3 linked regions of the Saccharomyces cerevisiae S288C genome follow. The protein of the gene in region 1 interacts with the protein of each later gene in a biochemical or structural test. Each region holds a gene or a part of one and is shown on either strand. Other genes may lie near its edges.

The links. Proteins that work in one complex are often made in the same cells at the same time.
Region 2: the proteins of THI3 (region 1) and THI2 form a complex in vitro, tested with the Saccharomyces cerevisiae proteins (one study listed by BioGRID).
Region 3: the proteins of THI3 (region 1) and PDC2 form a complex in vitro, tested with the Saccharomyces cerevisiae proteins (one study listed by BioGRID).

What each region holds. Positions count from the first base shown.
Region 1 is NC_001136.10:309,053-315,301, forward strand, and holds THI3 (branched-chain-2-oxoacid decarboxylase THI3), read right to left. Parts: upstream 3,420-6,249; coding exon 1,590-3,419; downstream 1-1,589. Other genes in the region: 60S ribosomal protein eL13 RPL13A, read left to right, coding at 1-336; ribosomal protein P1 RPP1A, read right to left, coding at 750-1,070; putative serine/threonine protein kinase MRK1, read right to left, coding at 3,899-4,992, 5,285-5,696. UniProt on the Saccharomyces cerevisiae protein: One of five 2-oxo acid decarboxylases (PDC1, PDC5, PDC6, ARO10, and THI3) involved in amino acid catabolism.
Region 2 is NC_001134.8:699,990-703,766, forward strand, and holds THI2 (Thi2p), read right to left. Parts: upstream 1,854-3,777; coding exon 501-1,853; downstream 1-500. Other genes in the region: VVS1 (Vvs1p), read right to left, coding at 2,600-3,777. UniProt on the Saccharomyces cerevisiae protein: Positive regulator of thiamine biosynthesis.
Region 3 is NC_001136.10:606,804-611,961, forward strand, and holds PDC2 (Pdc2p), read right to left. Parts: upstream 3,279-5,158; coding exon 501-3,278; downstream 1-500. Other genes in the region: VPS41 (Vps41p), read left to right, coding at 1-183; STN1 (Stn1p), read left to right, coding at 3,638-5,122. UniProt on the Saccharomyces cerevisiae protein: Essential for the synthesis of pyruvate decarboxylase. May be important for a high basal level of PDC gene expression or play a positive role in the autoregulation control of PDC1 and PDC5.

The DNA of each region.
Region 1 (6,249 bases):
TATGCCAGAACTATCGGTATCGCCGTTGACCACAGACGTCAAAACAGAAACCAAGAAATCTTTGATGCTAACGTTCAAAGATTAAAGGAATACCAATCTAAGATTATTGTTTTCCCAAGAAATGGTAAGGCCCCAGAAGCTGAACAAGTTTTGTCTGCTGCTGCTACTTTCCCAATTGCTCAACCAGCTACCGATGTTGAAGCTAGAGCTGTCCAAGACAATGGTGAATCTGCTTTCAGAACCTTGAGATTAGCCAGATCTGAGAAGAAATTCAGAGGTATCAGAGAAAAGAGAGCTAGAGAAAAGGCTGAAGCTGAAGCTGAAAAGAAGAAATAGATCTAAAAACTTCATCAAAGAATTTTTCATCCACAATTTTTGTATTTTCCTTCTTTTTTATCTGTTCAATTTCATAAATAATATATATGTACAATGTATAAACGGGAAGCCATCACTTATAATTTATCATTTCCTTAACTTTATAGTCTGGGTGAGAATATGGTTGACAGTATTTTTACAAGTTAGCGCAGTTTTCTTGATATGATGGAACATTATTGTATTAGTAGTAGTCAGGTTTGCAGGCTTTTCCTTCGAGCACAACGTGGCATTATATATAGCATAGAAGAGATGCGAAAGATGGTATTGAACAAAAAGAAAGTACTGTCTTATTGTATTAAAAGCGACTATATAGAAAAATTATAAAAAATTTTAAATGTTAGAATATGCAATTTCTTCTAAACAGTGCGGCACTTCTAATCAAATAAACCGAAACCCATGTCGTCATCGGATTCTTCTTTAGCTTCTTCTTCTTCCTTTTCAGCTTCGGCTTCACCGGCTTCACCACCAGCGACACCACCAGCGACACCAGCTGGGGCAGCAGCACCAGCGCTGAAGTTGACCAATAAGTCCTTCAAGTTTTGGCCGTCCAAAGCCTTAGCAAAAATATCAGCCCAGATATTTTCAACTGGGACATTGGCAGCGTTAGTCAAAGTCAACAACTTTTCAGAAGAGATTTCGATTTCAGAGTCAGCCAAAATCAAGGCGGCGTAAGACAAAGCGGATTCAGTAGACATTTCTTCTTGTTATTTTAGAGATAATCGGTTTAAGCTGTTGTATTGGACAAAGCGGACTATTTCTTTATTCTTTTGATTTCTTTTACTAAAAATTATTCAGAACAGAAGAGATCGCAAACTTTATAAAGATATTTTTTTCAAATACCATGTAAAGGCATTCTTTAAAAAATGAAAAAAAAAAAATCATTACAAAGTTGCGTGGTATCATCTTACGATATTCGTACCTCACGATATGTAGCAGACATAGATGAGGCTACAGGGTTAAGGCTTCTTTTAAATGAAGTATTAGACAAGATACTAGAGTTTAATAAGATCACGTATGGTAATGTTATTTCTTGCTGTGACAATTTTAGAAACAGAAGGCATGTGAGTTTTCATATTACATTAATTAAATGAAATTTTTATAAGCTAGGCTACTGTTCAGCGAATAAATATTTTCAAGCCAGTTTTATGAGGCAGGAAACGTCGCATTCGAGCGGTAATCATGAGGGTCCCTGGTAGTAGGGCGGAGAGATCAGATCAGTATCCAACTTGATTTTTTTTTAGAAGTGGTTGGAATTCTGGAGTTGGCGTATTTACTGCGCTAGAATTTTCGTTCTCCTCTTGCACTTGTTTGCTCTGTTCTTTTTCTACCACCCACCTGTCAAGCAGAGCCTGTGGAACATCCCTTGGTGGTAGCATAATCTCTATCATCCGAATTTTGTCATTGGTCGCAAAGTTTGGGTCACTGATCATGGATCTGAATTCTCCAACAGTAATAATTTTTTTCGTTTCGTAGTTCGTGCAACCAAATACTCGCAATAATCCCAAGTAGTTCCAAGGTTGGATATCGTAATAACTAGCATCTGACCTGTGATGCAAAAACCTGTCCACAGAGTAACCTTGGTTATTCATCACAAAAATATAAGGTGTCAATCCCCACTTAACAATTGTGGATAATTCTTGAACTGTCAATTGGAAAGCACCGTCACCCATAAACAGAATAACTCTATGTTTAGTTGCGGGGAATTTATCCTTGTTTATCTCTTGAACAGCAAATTCTGCCCCAAGACACGCCCCCATTGTATATCCGACAGATCCCCAAAGAGCTTGCGAAATACCTAGTGTATTTACCGGAAATCTGGTCTGGTTAACTCCAAATGCAGAAGCACCAGTTTCTGTTATGATTATGTCACCTGGTTGGAACCAATGGGATATTTCATTCCAGACCCATTCTTGTCTCAAGAGGACATTTCCTGCTGGGTAAGGTCTTGGAACCATCATACTGGGTTGTTCGCTTGGTTGGTAAGACAGTTTAGATTCATCAAGATTTGCTAATATTTTCTGTAGTAGTAATTTAATGCTCAAGTCAGGATATGTGGCATTTTTCAATTTCACAGATGTAGAATATAGTAGCGCACAATTCTTAGTTTTATATTGGAAGTGGAAAGTTGACGTGCTGAATTCGGAGAGCATGCAACCAATGACGATGATAAAATCGGCAAAATCAACTACTTCTCTTACTTCTGGGGCTGATATCGAGCCCGTGAATACGCCCCCAAATTGCGGGTCTGTTTCGTTTACTGTACCCTTACCCATAGGTGTAACAAAAACTGGAAATTTAAGCCTATTACAAAGCTCTTTAGTCTCCTCGATTAAATTCTGTCGACTAGTACATGCATCTACGATGATTGCCGGATTCTGGCTTTTGTATATAAAACTCAATATTCGAGAAATAACTTCTTTCTCTACGTCTGGGTCGTTTTTATGCAATTGTAAATCCAGAGGTGTATTAAGCCTTGCTGATTCAATCGGGAGATTTACCTGGTTGACAGGCATGCCCATGTATACTGGCCTCTGTTCTATCCAAGCCTTTTTGATGCACTTATCGACTTCGTCGGCACATAATTCAGAGTCAATAATCAATGTTGTATAGCATGCTACATCACTGGCTATTCTATGAAATACCGTGAAATCACCATTGCCCAGAGTATGATGCAGTAGTAGTTGTTTCGTTTGTGCACTTGTTGGCGGCATACCCACTATGTGAAGTATTCCTACATGTTCAGCGTAAGATCCGGCCACGCCATTGATTGCCGATAATTCGCCTACACCAAAGGTTGTTATGAGACATCCCAAGCCTTTTAGTCGTGAGTATCCATCTGCTGCGTAGGCAGCATTTAACTCATTAGAATTACCGGCCCATCGTAAGTTCGGAATGTTGTATAGTTTATCCAGCAACGGCATGCTAAATTCTCCGGAGAGTCCAAATATGGTATGTATGTTCAGCTGGTTGAGCCGATGGAAAAGATAATCTGATATTGCTATACACTTCGGCAGTGCATATCTCTGTGTATAGCTAGAATTCATCTTCAGAATGACGACGGTGCGTTTTAGTAGTTATGTTCTTTCAAACCTTTTTTTTTTCGTTTTATTATATTTTACTCTTTTCTACACAATATCGATAATGAATTACGAATTTGGTGCTTACCAAAAGGTTCAAAGATTACTATGCCGTAAAGTATGAAGAAAGGGAAATTTGTTCAATGCATCGCAAGTTTCATCAATTTTTCTTCTATGTGAGTGCTTTTAGCAACTGTTTGCAATAAAGAAACATAGGAGTTCTTACAGTTGCCAAGGTTCTGCATATGCAGTCATACGCTTGTGGCCGGTGAAAATTTGGGCGACCGCTGCCTAGAAAAGCAGCAAGTGAAATTAAATGAAGGAAAGAGGACGGTCGTTATACGTTAGGTTAACTGCATACGCTGTGTATCTGTGTGCAGAAGACAAATGCATATTATGTAATAGTAATGATACAATAGACTAAGAAATTTGAAGGATGAGATATATCACAAAGACGATGAAGGTGCAGAAACAAAATGTTTCAACCGTTCTTCAATGGCGGGCCGTTCCACAAGTGGAACATGGCCCAACTCAGTTTCCACGTCGAAGTCAAATATACGCAGGTTTTGTGCTTTTACGTAAGTGTCGGTATCACAACGTTTGGTTTCGTCAAAATAGCTTGATAATAGACATTGTAGAGGTACCAATCTTTCGCAAGGGTGATACTTCAGAGTTTTTGTTAACAAGTCAAGAGTATCGGGATCTTCGGCTTTGAATATTTCAGCCAAAGTAATGGGCTTGATATTGGGGAAAACATGGTCTTCATAATTTGGGTTCATTCCTGAAATTTCATCCTTTGTGGGTATGCCCATTATCTTAATAATTTCCACCAACTGATCTATACCGCTTTCACCAGAGAACAAGGGCTTGCCCAAAAGCAACTCAGCAATGACACAAGCGCTTGACCACACGTCGACCTGGTTTGAGTAATTAGTGGCACCAAACATGAGTTCGGGAGCCCTATAGTACCTTGAACAGATGTAAGACACATTAGGCTGATCCGGTTTCAAGCATTTGGCACTGCCAAAATCGCAAATCTTGAAAGAAAAAGTTGTCGGATCCACCAGTAGGTTTTGCGGTTTTATATCTCTGTGACAGATTCGAGGAACGTTATGCAAATAGTTTAAAGCTTTGAATAGTTGGTATGCATAGAATTTAATTTCAACACGCGGCATCTGCATTTTCAAATTAACAAAATGACGAAGCCTTTGGTATAACGACTGAGGCATGTAGTCCAAAACCAGATTGAGGTATACTTCATCTTCTTCGTCCTTTTCGTAAAAGTAGTACTGTAGACCCACAGTATTTGGATGGCACAACATCTTCATAGTTTCGAGCTCCCTATTTTTATATCTTCTATCTTGTAGTACTTTCTTTATGGCAACTTTTTGATTGGTCTCAATTATTACAGTCGTGACTACAACACCAAATGAACCATGGCCAACCACTTCTGTCGTAGGATAACTGATGTCGATAGTTCCTCCATGATTTTTTCGGTCGACATCAGTTTTGCGGTCATGTTTATAAACCCGTTTATGAACTAAACCTATGTTAGTATATAATGTGATTCCCATAAAAAATGGTAGTTGATGTAATATGGAAAAATGTTCCGCTATGCTTCCTGATATTTCGTAAGCAAGTTTCTAAGATTAGGGATGCAATTTCATAAATCTTTATTTTACACTCTCTTTTTTTTTCTTTTAATTATTTTTTTTTGTGTCGCGATACTATGAACTGACAGTAGTTCCACTATTCACTCCGGTTGTGACGAAAGAAACATTCCTCCACTGGCAAGAACATAAAAAAAAAAAATAAAAAATAATTATACATACTAGTCCTTTCCTTGGTTTTAATATACCTATAATCAAAATTAATCATTTTCTCAACCTTCTCTTTACTAAGCTTGCTACTAATATTTTCGTGCTTATTGGCAACTTTTCCATCTGTTTTACTGTCCGAGATATTGGCGTGTTCAATGTGATCAACTGCAATACCCTCCTTTCCCCCGTCTATCAGTTTAGATATTATAAGATTCTCTATGTCGTTGATGTACTCTGAACTGTTATTGAAATTAGGTACAGTATGGTGAACTTGAACGTCGCTTACCTTTTTGATTGTATCAGGCTTTCTCTTCTTCTTTTCTAGGGCAGTATTACTCTGTATAGATGTCTTGTGTTTTAGCTGAAGGTTATCTGAGTTATTGAAGGAAATCTTTCGCACTAGGCTTCTCAACACATCGGTCATAGTAGACTATTTTACAATTTTCACCTCTTCAATCTTGAGATTATTTTCAAGTCCCTTCCCCGCAGTATGGTAGAAACGGAAATACTTGTATGCAGCAGGGTTCTTATAGCACCAGTATTTTTTAGAGAATGCTTATTTAAGTTGCAAGATATAGCGACAAAAGGAGAACCAATCTTTCTCAGATCCGCCGCTGGAACAGCTCTCCGGTAGATCCTAACGGATAATGCTGCCCCTGGTTAGTTCCTCATCGGACGACTTTGCTCCCAGGGGCGGCCTTTGTCTTTCTCTTTTGCAGAATCAACTCTATTTTCCCCACCCCCCCGCTTTTTTTTTTTCATGTTCCTTTACCAATCTTTGAAAAATCACGAGATGGTGCATATTTGACAAGGAACGCTTAAAACATCGTGGAGTGAGTGTGGTAAAGGTAAACTGGTCATAGCGGAATTGGTCATAGCGGCGTAGTGCAGCGCAGCCACTAGGAGGATATGGTTTCCTTTCCTTCAATTTACTTGAGTATAAAATATCATAGTAAGCGAAACATTATACAACGATA
Region 2 (3,777 bases), on another chromosome or scaffold:
GTTGTACCCAAAAGAAATGATAAAAATAGCTCAAGAGTATCCTGACTTTATATAACTAGCAATTTTATCTAAGAGAGTAATGCCGTTGCACCGGCTCTTGTTTAGTTTTTTTATGTGGTTACTCTTTTACAATATACTAAAATTGCAACTCATTTGCTTTTTTCATTTCTTTTCCTTCAATTTTTTTTTTTTTTTAGTCTACGGCTAACAAAAAGCATAGGCTCAGAATGATAGATAGATATCCGATAAATGTCAGTAAAGACAAAGAAATCAGTAAAATAAACGTTTCACCCTGGCAGATAGGAAACCCTATCTCCCAGTGATAAACTTTAATTTTTTTTCGTGCATATATATATATACATATATAATATAAAACAAAATATCATGAATTTCTATCTAAAGTAGTGGGAAAAAATATGTCGTTAAAAATGGGTATAATATCCAAGCAAAGCTTTTGGCTTTTTTTTTCTTGAAATGAGTGAAGGGAAGGCTCAATAAGCCTAGTCCTGCATGGCATATACATCCTTGTAAAATTGTTGATTACACTTCAGTTGTAGCTGCCAGTACCGCAGTTGGGAACATGAAAGTGTGGTATCTTGACATGAGCAAAGTTGTTGCAATATTGTATCTTTCCAACTATTCACTAGGCGCTCCGTGACCAAGACATGTAACTCCGACGTAAGCTCGTCCTGGTAGGGATCCTCGAATAAGTCGGCATTCCCTAGCAATCCATTACAATGGTACAGGACGTCTAAATCTTGTGTATTGTTTATGATAAAGTTGACCAGCGGATACATCGAAAATCTCAATAGCTTTTGCTGGAGAAACCACACTCTTAGAAGCTTTGTCAAGTTGGGGCAGGTATATCCATGAATGATGACCAGCATTGTTATAGCTATGGATTGCCAATCGACACAACTCCAACGAGCGATGCACTCTTTGAACAGGCACGAGGCCATATTGATGTCCGGGTCGTCAATTATTTTCCCAAGGAAGCGTATGAATTCCGTGGTCAACGAGTTCCTCATCTTATTGATGAACCACGTCGTGTATTCTTGTCGGTTCAATATCATGTTCCCGTAGCAATTAAACCATAGGATCCCGAAAATTTTGCCTTGGATAATATCGATCAAAGAGGTGCTGTCTTCTGGCGGCGATGACAGCGCTGCAGTAGTGGTTTCCTCTGCTGACGACATCGAATGACCCGGCGACGGCAGCTGATCTGTAAGAGCAGAGGTAACTGCAGCCGGATTGGCCCTGAAAACTGAGTAAGGCCCGTGTTTGGAGCAATTGAGGTTGACCACAGATATGTCGTTTTCCACCATATTAAGCAATTCGTCCAACTTCTTGTCTATGCGCTTTTGAGTATAATCTCTATTTGTCATGCTACCAAAGACAGAGGCCACAGCGTTATTGTATATCTTCAATCTCCGTACGCTTATGGTGAATGTATTATCGTTAGGAAGCGTAGTTTCCTTACTTGCCTCGTGCACGCTGTCTTCGCAGTCACTTGTCGGGGGTGATAGTTGTCTAAAATGGGTCATTTGTTTAAACCTTGATTTTGAGATTTTCTGGCACAATGGTTTCGATTTCGATTTGCGAGCCTGTAATGAACTGATCAGTGAATGCTTGCGTACTTTGTAGATGTTCTCCTCTAACCACATAAGTCTGATATCGTAACTACAATTATCTCCATGTTTGGCACACAGTGAACAGATTGGTCTATTCTCGTCGCATCTGCGTTTCTTGAATCTGCATGCCCAGCACCCAGTAAATGTCCTCCCCTTGGTGGGGGGCACTTTGGAGGATGACGCTACTTTCTTGCTTCTCTGCTGCCTCTTACTATTGACCATTTGGTTCTAGTGCGGATATATATATAGGCTATATATATACGTGGTGAAATGAAATGAAAACGCTTTTAAAGTGTGCAGAAATTGTTATAGCTCTAACCCGTAGTATTAGTTCCCCATATAATTCCGACCGAGAAAGGTGCACCCACTTGTCATACAAATTGTACATATATATATATATATATATATATATATATATATATGTATATATTATACCTGCAAGCAATTGCACGCGAGTACTCTGCGTGAGTCAAAAGACTGTGGTAAAATGGTACCCATCTGATGCAGGAATTCCGACTCTTTCAAGCTAAATGCCGTTTCATTTTGGCACGGATGCATTCGCAGATTGGTTGGAAATCCGCATACATCAAATGCGCCAAGAGGGCTGCCATTGTATATTCCTTTTCTCGGCAGTCCTGCCGGATGCATTTATGCCGCTAAGACGCAGAACCGAATATTGGGCTCAGGAAAATATGCAGATAGACGCTCGCCCGTGAGCGACTCATGACGCGCGTGTGCTATTTTGGCCCCGGCAGTACAAGCGGTAGTCATGGTTTCCGCCACACGGATCTCATACAACAGCAATCCATTTGGTTTGCCTAGTTCCGTACATATACATAGATACTAACTAAATGAGTGCATATACTCATGTAGCCGTTCGTTACTAGAAGAAGAAGAAAATAAAAAACAGATGAATAGCTAGAAAGAAGTAAAAAATAGTTGCTTAGGTATATATGACTGGCTACAGATCAGTAGCCAGCCCAAACCTCGCTGTATGTAGTCTTGCCCTTTGTCTCGGGTACACGCTTGTACACATATGTAGCAAACATGGCAGCGATGGCGGCGAAGATCGCAAATACGTAGCCGCCCATGAGGCCGTGGCCTATCGGGAAGAGGTATCCGACGATGAAGGTGGCAAGCCAGTTGCACACAGTACCAAAACTTTGAGCTGTAGCGGCATCCTGCGGGTAGGATAGCTCACCAATGATCAAGAAGGGGATGGGTCCCAGACCGATGGCGAATGCGGCAATATAGACAAAAGTGGCCGTGACCAGTAAAAAGGATACGCTCAAGGTGAGACCTACACTGATCAGCAGCGACATGGCGGTCATCACCGTAGTCGAGGCAAGCAATAATGGACGGCGCCCGACGTGGTCGATGATCGCAGATGCTGCTAGAGTGACAACGACATTGAGGATGGAAATGGCAAAATTTACCTGAATCGAGTAGTCCGGTAGAATCTTGCCGATCACTTTTACACCGTAGAAGATAATAGAGTTGATGCCGCAAAATTGCTGGCACGACAAGATGGCGAGTATAACTGTGCGCGGTTTCTTGTATGAGGGATCGGTAACATATTGCCATAGTGTGGGTCCTGAATGAGTCTCTTCGCTTGACTCCGGGTCGCGGTTGTGCCCATGGCTACGCTGCCAATCCTGAATTTCTTGCTTCGCTTGTTGGTACGTTCCTGGACGCAACTTGAACAGAGCAGTTTCAGCTTCCGAGACGAATCCGTGGCTCACCAGCCACCTTGGAGATTCGTCCACTTTGAGCCAAGCTAAAATATTCGCTACCGCAATCACGGATCCGGAAAAGAGAAGCCACCTCCAGTTATAGGAGTCTGCGTACTTGAGTGCCAAGGTTTGGGTCAGCAGGATACCTAGATTGATAGAAACCTGATTCATAGATCCCATAGCGCCTCTCCACTCCACGGGGGCAATCTCGTTGATAAATAAGGGTGTGATCACAATGGCGGTGCCGCAGGACATGCCTACCAGGAACCTGCCAAATAGCAACTGCAAGTAGGAGTTGGAAAAGAAAAGCAGCAGAGAAGAAACCATGCACATGGCCGAGGCGCCCATGCTCACGTACTTTCTTCCGTATCGGTTGGCCCAGTTACCGGCGTAGTACGACCCAAACAGTCCGC
Region 3 (5,158 bases), 300 kb from region 1:
ATTAAACATATCGTTCAAGAAAATTCATTAAGCTTGGAAGTTAGAGATAATATTTTGGTTATCATTAATGATGAAACGAAAAAATTTGCCAATGAATTCCTGAAAATAAGAAGTCAAGGTAAATTGTTTCAAGTAGACGAAAGCGATATTGAAATTAATGACGACTTAAATGGTGTTTTATAATATCGAATCATCATTTAATACACAAGGCAAGTGTACACTTCAGGAATGTACTGCTGAAAAAAAAAAAAAAAAAGAAAAAAAAGAAAAAGATATCTTGGTTTGAATAAGTAAAATTAATAGAATCCAGTTTCCAGTGATCGGTACAGGCTAAATAATAAATATCTCTACTTTTATTTATTCTTTTCGTTTTCTTGTGTTCAGGATAGATCAAAGAGCAGTCAAAGGTCATCAGGAAAATGATAAATTCAAAAAACCGAGAGTTAAAGGCAAAACTACAAAAAAGAGCAATGAATATCGAGATCTTATTAAGTTTATATCTAAAAAAAGCCTGTGTTACCAGGTAAGTGTAAGTTATTAGAGTCTGGGAGGTTTGAACCACCAGTCGGAAGGTCCAAGTTATTGGCGGAAGTTGCAGCTGCAGCTGCAGCCCCAGATAGAAGGGTTTCTAAATGGTCTTGTGCATTCTTACTGTTTATTTTAATGCTTTCGCTATTTAATTGTTTTCTAGTCTTTTTAATCCTTTTTAAAAGTGTCAAATAATTGAAATTAAGTTCATTTATTGTTTCTTTCGTCAGTGATATTTCGTTTGATTCTGCATGTTTCATAATGGTACTCAATGATTTGGCGATATTTATATTTGTTTGTAAGTTACTTAATATTGTGGTGGAAGAGGGTGACATACCGGAAACAGCACCTTCAAGATGTTCTAAAGCTGATGGCGATGACGCAGAGGAATTTGAGTCTATGGGTGCAGATATAATAGATCTCGCTGGAGCGCCTGTTGAGTTTATTGCCACAGGAGATGGTGTAATTGAAGGAGACGAAGCTTCCGCGACGGACGCCGAATTATGTTGAAAGTTATTCAGAGAATTTTGAGATATAGCATTTGAGGAATTAACAGAATGTCCGCTTTTTGATGTGTCGCTCAGCAACCCATTCATATGTGGGACATCAAACGGCTGTGCTTGATTTCTTGACTCTAGAAGGGCAGTCGTTATCGAGTTTGAATTTGCCATGGCCGTGCTTGAAGGAAGTTCATCAGTTGATTTGTTCTGATCTGAGGCAGCTTTTTCGTTGTTTCTGATAGCTGAAGAAAATACTTCGCTAAAATATTCTGATGATGGTAGTTGCATATCAACGCCAACAGTAGATAAATCCAAATCAGGACTTAAGAATAAATTAGGTTTATCGATTAATGTACTGACATTATAATCTAATGGGCCCGGCTGTTTCATTGTATTATATGGATCATTCAAAAGGCCGTTAAAATTGACGTCATAATTACCGTCAACAACTAAATCTGTAGTCGAAGAGTTCCTTTGCGATTCCATACTAGAAATATTTGGTTGTCCAGGGTTACCTGTTTTGGTACTATTATCAACAGTATTCTGTTGCAAATACTTTACGCTACTATCATTATCATTAATATTATTACTACTACCATTATTATTGTTATTATTATTACTGCCTCTATTATTAGTATTTTCAATAGCATTGTTGCTGTGATTACTGTTGTAATCGGGGTTGTGGCTAGCTTGTGACATGCTTAAATGATTTTGATTATTATCATCTTCATTGGCAAAAACTGATACATCAAAATTATCATCATGGACCTCATTACCTTTTGGCGCAGTATCAAAATCAGGTTCACAAGGCTCCACAATAGCACTTTCCACTAATTCTTCTGTACTCAAGAAGTTTGTGTTTTTGTTTTCAATGTTTAAATCTAACAACATTTCATATTCCCATTTTTTAACACAGTAGTATTCATCACATAATCTATTCAAAACGCTCTCTAAGACTTCGTTTTTCTTAAATGCCATACTAACATTCTCATTCAAATGTATCATTTCAGGAGGAAGCAGACCGGAACTTTTCCAATTTGCTTTGATAGCATCAACGGGTATATCATCCCAAGCTTTTTTAATAAATTTGAATGCATTTGACATTGTGAGTTGACTCTGCTCAAAGCTAATCAAACATTTTTTACCATTGGGTATGCATTCGTTCCGTTCTGATTTATTTTTATTTTGGATATTCTTCGAAATTCTATTTTGCAAGTCAATGAGCGCCTGATACTGTTGTATTCTGTATCGTGTTTTGAATTCATCCCAGACACCCCAGTTAAATGGCAAAAACTTTGAATTTGAGGAAGTGTATACAAGTTTTATATTTTGAAGGCGCAAATTAATTATTCGATGACAGCAAGAATCATCCAAAACAATCCAAATCTTCCTATTCACAGCAACCAACCTCTTATCCCACCTGACTAACCAGTTGTGGAAAAGATTGCTCGTTAGCCATGCTTTCCTGTTACTATGGTATGAGATATCAAATTTCTTAGCCATCTTAGTACCCAACATTGATTGTGACACAGGATCATTCGGTTCATTGGGGAAATAATTCCTGAATGATTTGTAACTATCATATTTGCCCACGACAACAGGTTTTAACTTTTCAGAGCCATCTAAATTGGAGCACAGCATGACAGTTGCCACCTCTATACGCCTTTGAATGCTACTTGCTTCATATTGAGCATAATCCAACGGTAGGTTGTAGGAGAGAAACGCTTCATCTAAAGTGAATAAATCCTTTGGAGGAATTTTGGAGAAATAAGCCTTCAATACATCCCTCTCTTCAAATGTCCAGACTTTTGGGGTTTTGGGTAACTCTTCGTCTAAAACAGAAATATTGACATCCATTTTTGATAAAAAATTCGAAATCCATTTATAACTAAAAGAACCATTTCCCTCGCGATGCTCCGCAGGAATTCTGTGCCAAACAGCTTGTGCAGTGTCTTGAATAATAGGTGACGTTATAGGGATTCCATTCCACAAACTTTGAGAAATCCATTCTTGTAAAATTTTCCGAACCAAAAGATTATTTGGCTTCCTTAATCTATTCGCATCTTTTTCATGCTCTTTACAATTCATATAAGTTGATTTCCTTGCCAACAAACGCGATATTGTGCCTTGGGATGGAATTTTTGGCAGCTGGAACGTCTCATAAGCCCATTTTGCCAATTCAAGTTGCGTCCACTTTGGGTGCCTCTCCGCCATTAGACAAATATTATATCTTTGCTGAATGGAAAGCATGCTGGTTATAATAAAGCTGTCTCTTTACTGCTTGGTGTTACCACAAAATTCAAAACGCGAACTAGTCACGATTGATCAAACTTTGCTGATTTCATTCAAATCTTGCAACTGATTTTTAAGCAGCTATTGGTTTTGATAATTTCTTACTTTCAAGTAATTGACTTCGATGGGCAAAGTCACTCAGAACGGAAATATGCAGCAGCTATTCTAACAACAAAACCACGAATCACACCAAAAAGAAGTATGTAAAGGCATGGAAAAAGAAGTAAGCATTGGAATATATGAAATCCTGCTTGTTGATATTCCATTTCTGTGCGAAAAAAGAGCAATAAGCTGGCTTTTAATAATGGGTTGGAGCCATGGATAAGTACGGACATATAGCTCATCAAGAAGGCGATGTTTGTTATTATATTCCAAGGCTGTTCAAATACAACAGTTATTATAGTGGGACAGAGGACGTTCGAATATTTGTTGGAGATTTAAAGTACCGGATGAGAGTTTCTTTGCAAATTTGCGAAAAGTATTATGATAGGCGGTTGTCGATGTTGTTCTGGAAAAATCATCCTTTACAGCAAATACACCTTATTGGCTGCATCATTGGACTCCAGTTCAAATGGATTGGGAAACAAGAATACATTTTTTTTCAGTTGGACGATTGTACTTCAGACTCTTCATTGGTGGGTTATACTAGTGACATGAGATTCTTAACATGTAAAGTTAAGAAGGATAGCATCCTATCATGGGGGTTGAACATAACCGATTTGATAGGCTTAACTCTTCATGTCTACGGGCAAGCAAGTTTGAACTATCAAGAGCTTCAAGTTGAATATTTAAGATTATGCTACAGTTTAACGGAAGAAATAGATCATTGGAAAATCACAATGAACATGCGTGAGCAACTTGACACGCCTTGGTCCTTAAGCGATTTTGTAATTGGAGAATTGTTCACGCAAGAGCAAGAGTGGACACCTGAGACATCACAGATTGAGGTAGTAAACCCGGATTTTGTAGGTATAGGGTACAAAACCCCAGAAAGTAAAAGAAATGAAACTACTTTCATCGAGCAACTGCAAGAAGAACGCTTGAAGGATGAATTAGAAATTATTAGTCCATACAATAGCACAGATACTTCGAATAGTGTGCATTCCTTGTCATTTCGGTTTGTATCGTCGCTAAAGGATTTTCCTGAAACTCACTTTTTGAATTCAGGTGATCAAATTGACAACGGCAATGACGAACAGTTAAAAAAACTAGAATATCAAAGCGCTAATCTACCTGTGATGATTCCCAATAGGACATCAGCAAAGTCAAACTTGATGTTGATCCTATTAGGACTACAAATGAAAGAGATTTCTAATTCTGACCTTTACAAACTAAAGGAAGTACGCAGCGTAGTAACTAGCTTAGCATCGTTTTTGTTTCAACAACAAAATGTTGGCGTCATGAAATCTTTTGACTCTTTGGAAAAGGAAGCGTTTCGAGACCTGGTTAATCGTCTAGTCAGCCAGGGTTTGATCGGATTAAAAGATAAAACAAGTGAGACATTTGATTTGCTTCCTCTAAAAAATCTTTTTGAATATGCTGAAAAACGTATATCAGTTCTAATGAAGCTACAATGTTATACAGGCACTGTGCAATTAAGTCATGTTCAGGAAAAGCTACATTTGCCGTACATAACAACGAACGGCATCGTTGATGTTTTCAAAGAATGTCTTAAAAGGACAAAGAAACAGTATCCTGAGGTACTAAAAAATTGGTGGATTGATCTTGATCCGAAGAATGGTATGGAGGACCAAAACAGTGGAATATTATTACATTTGGAATACGCAGCAGCATATTCATAATTTGTTAGAAAACTCGCATCGTCAATAACGGCGCAT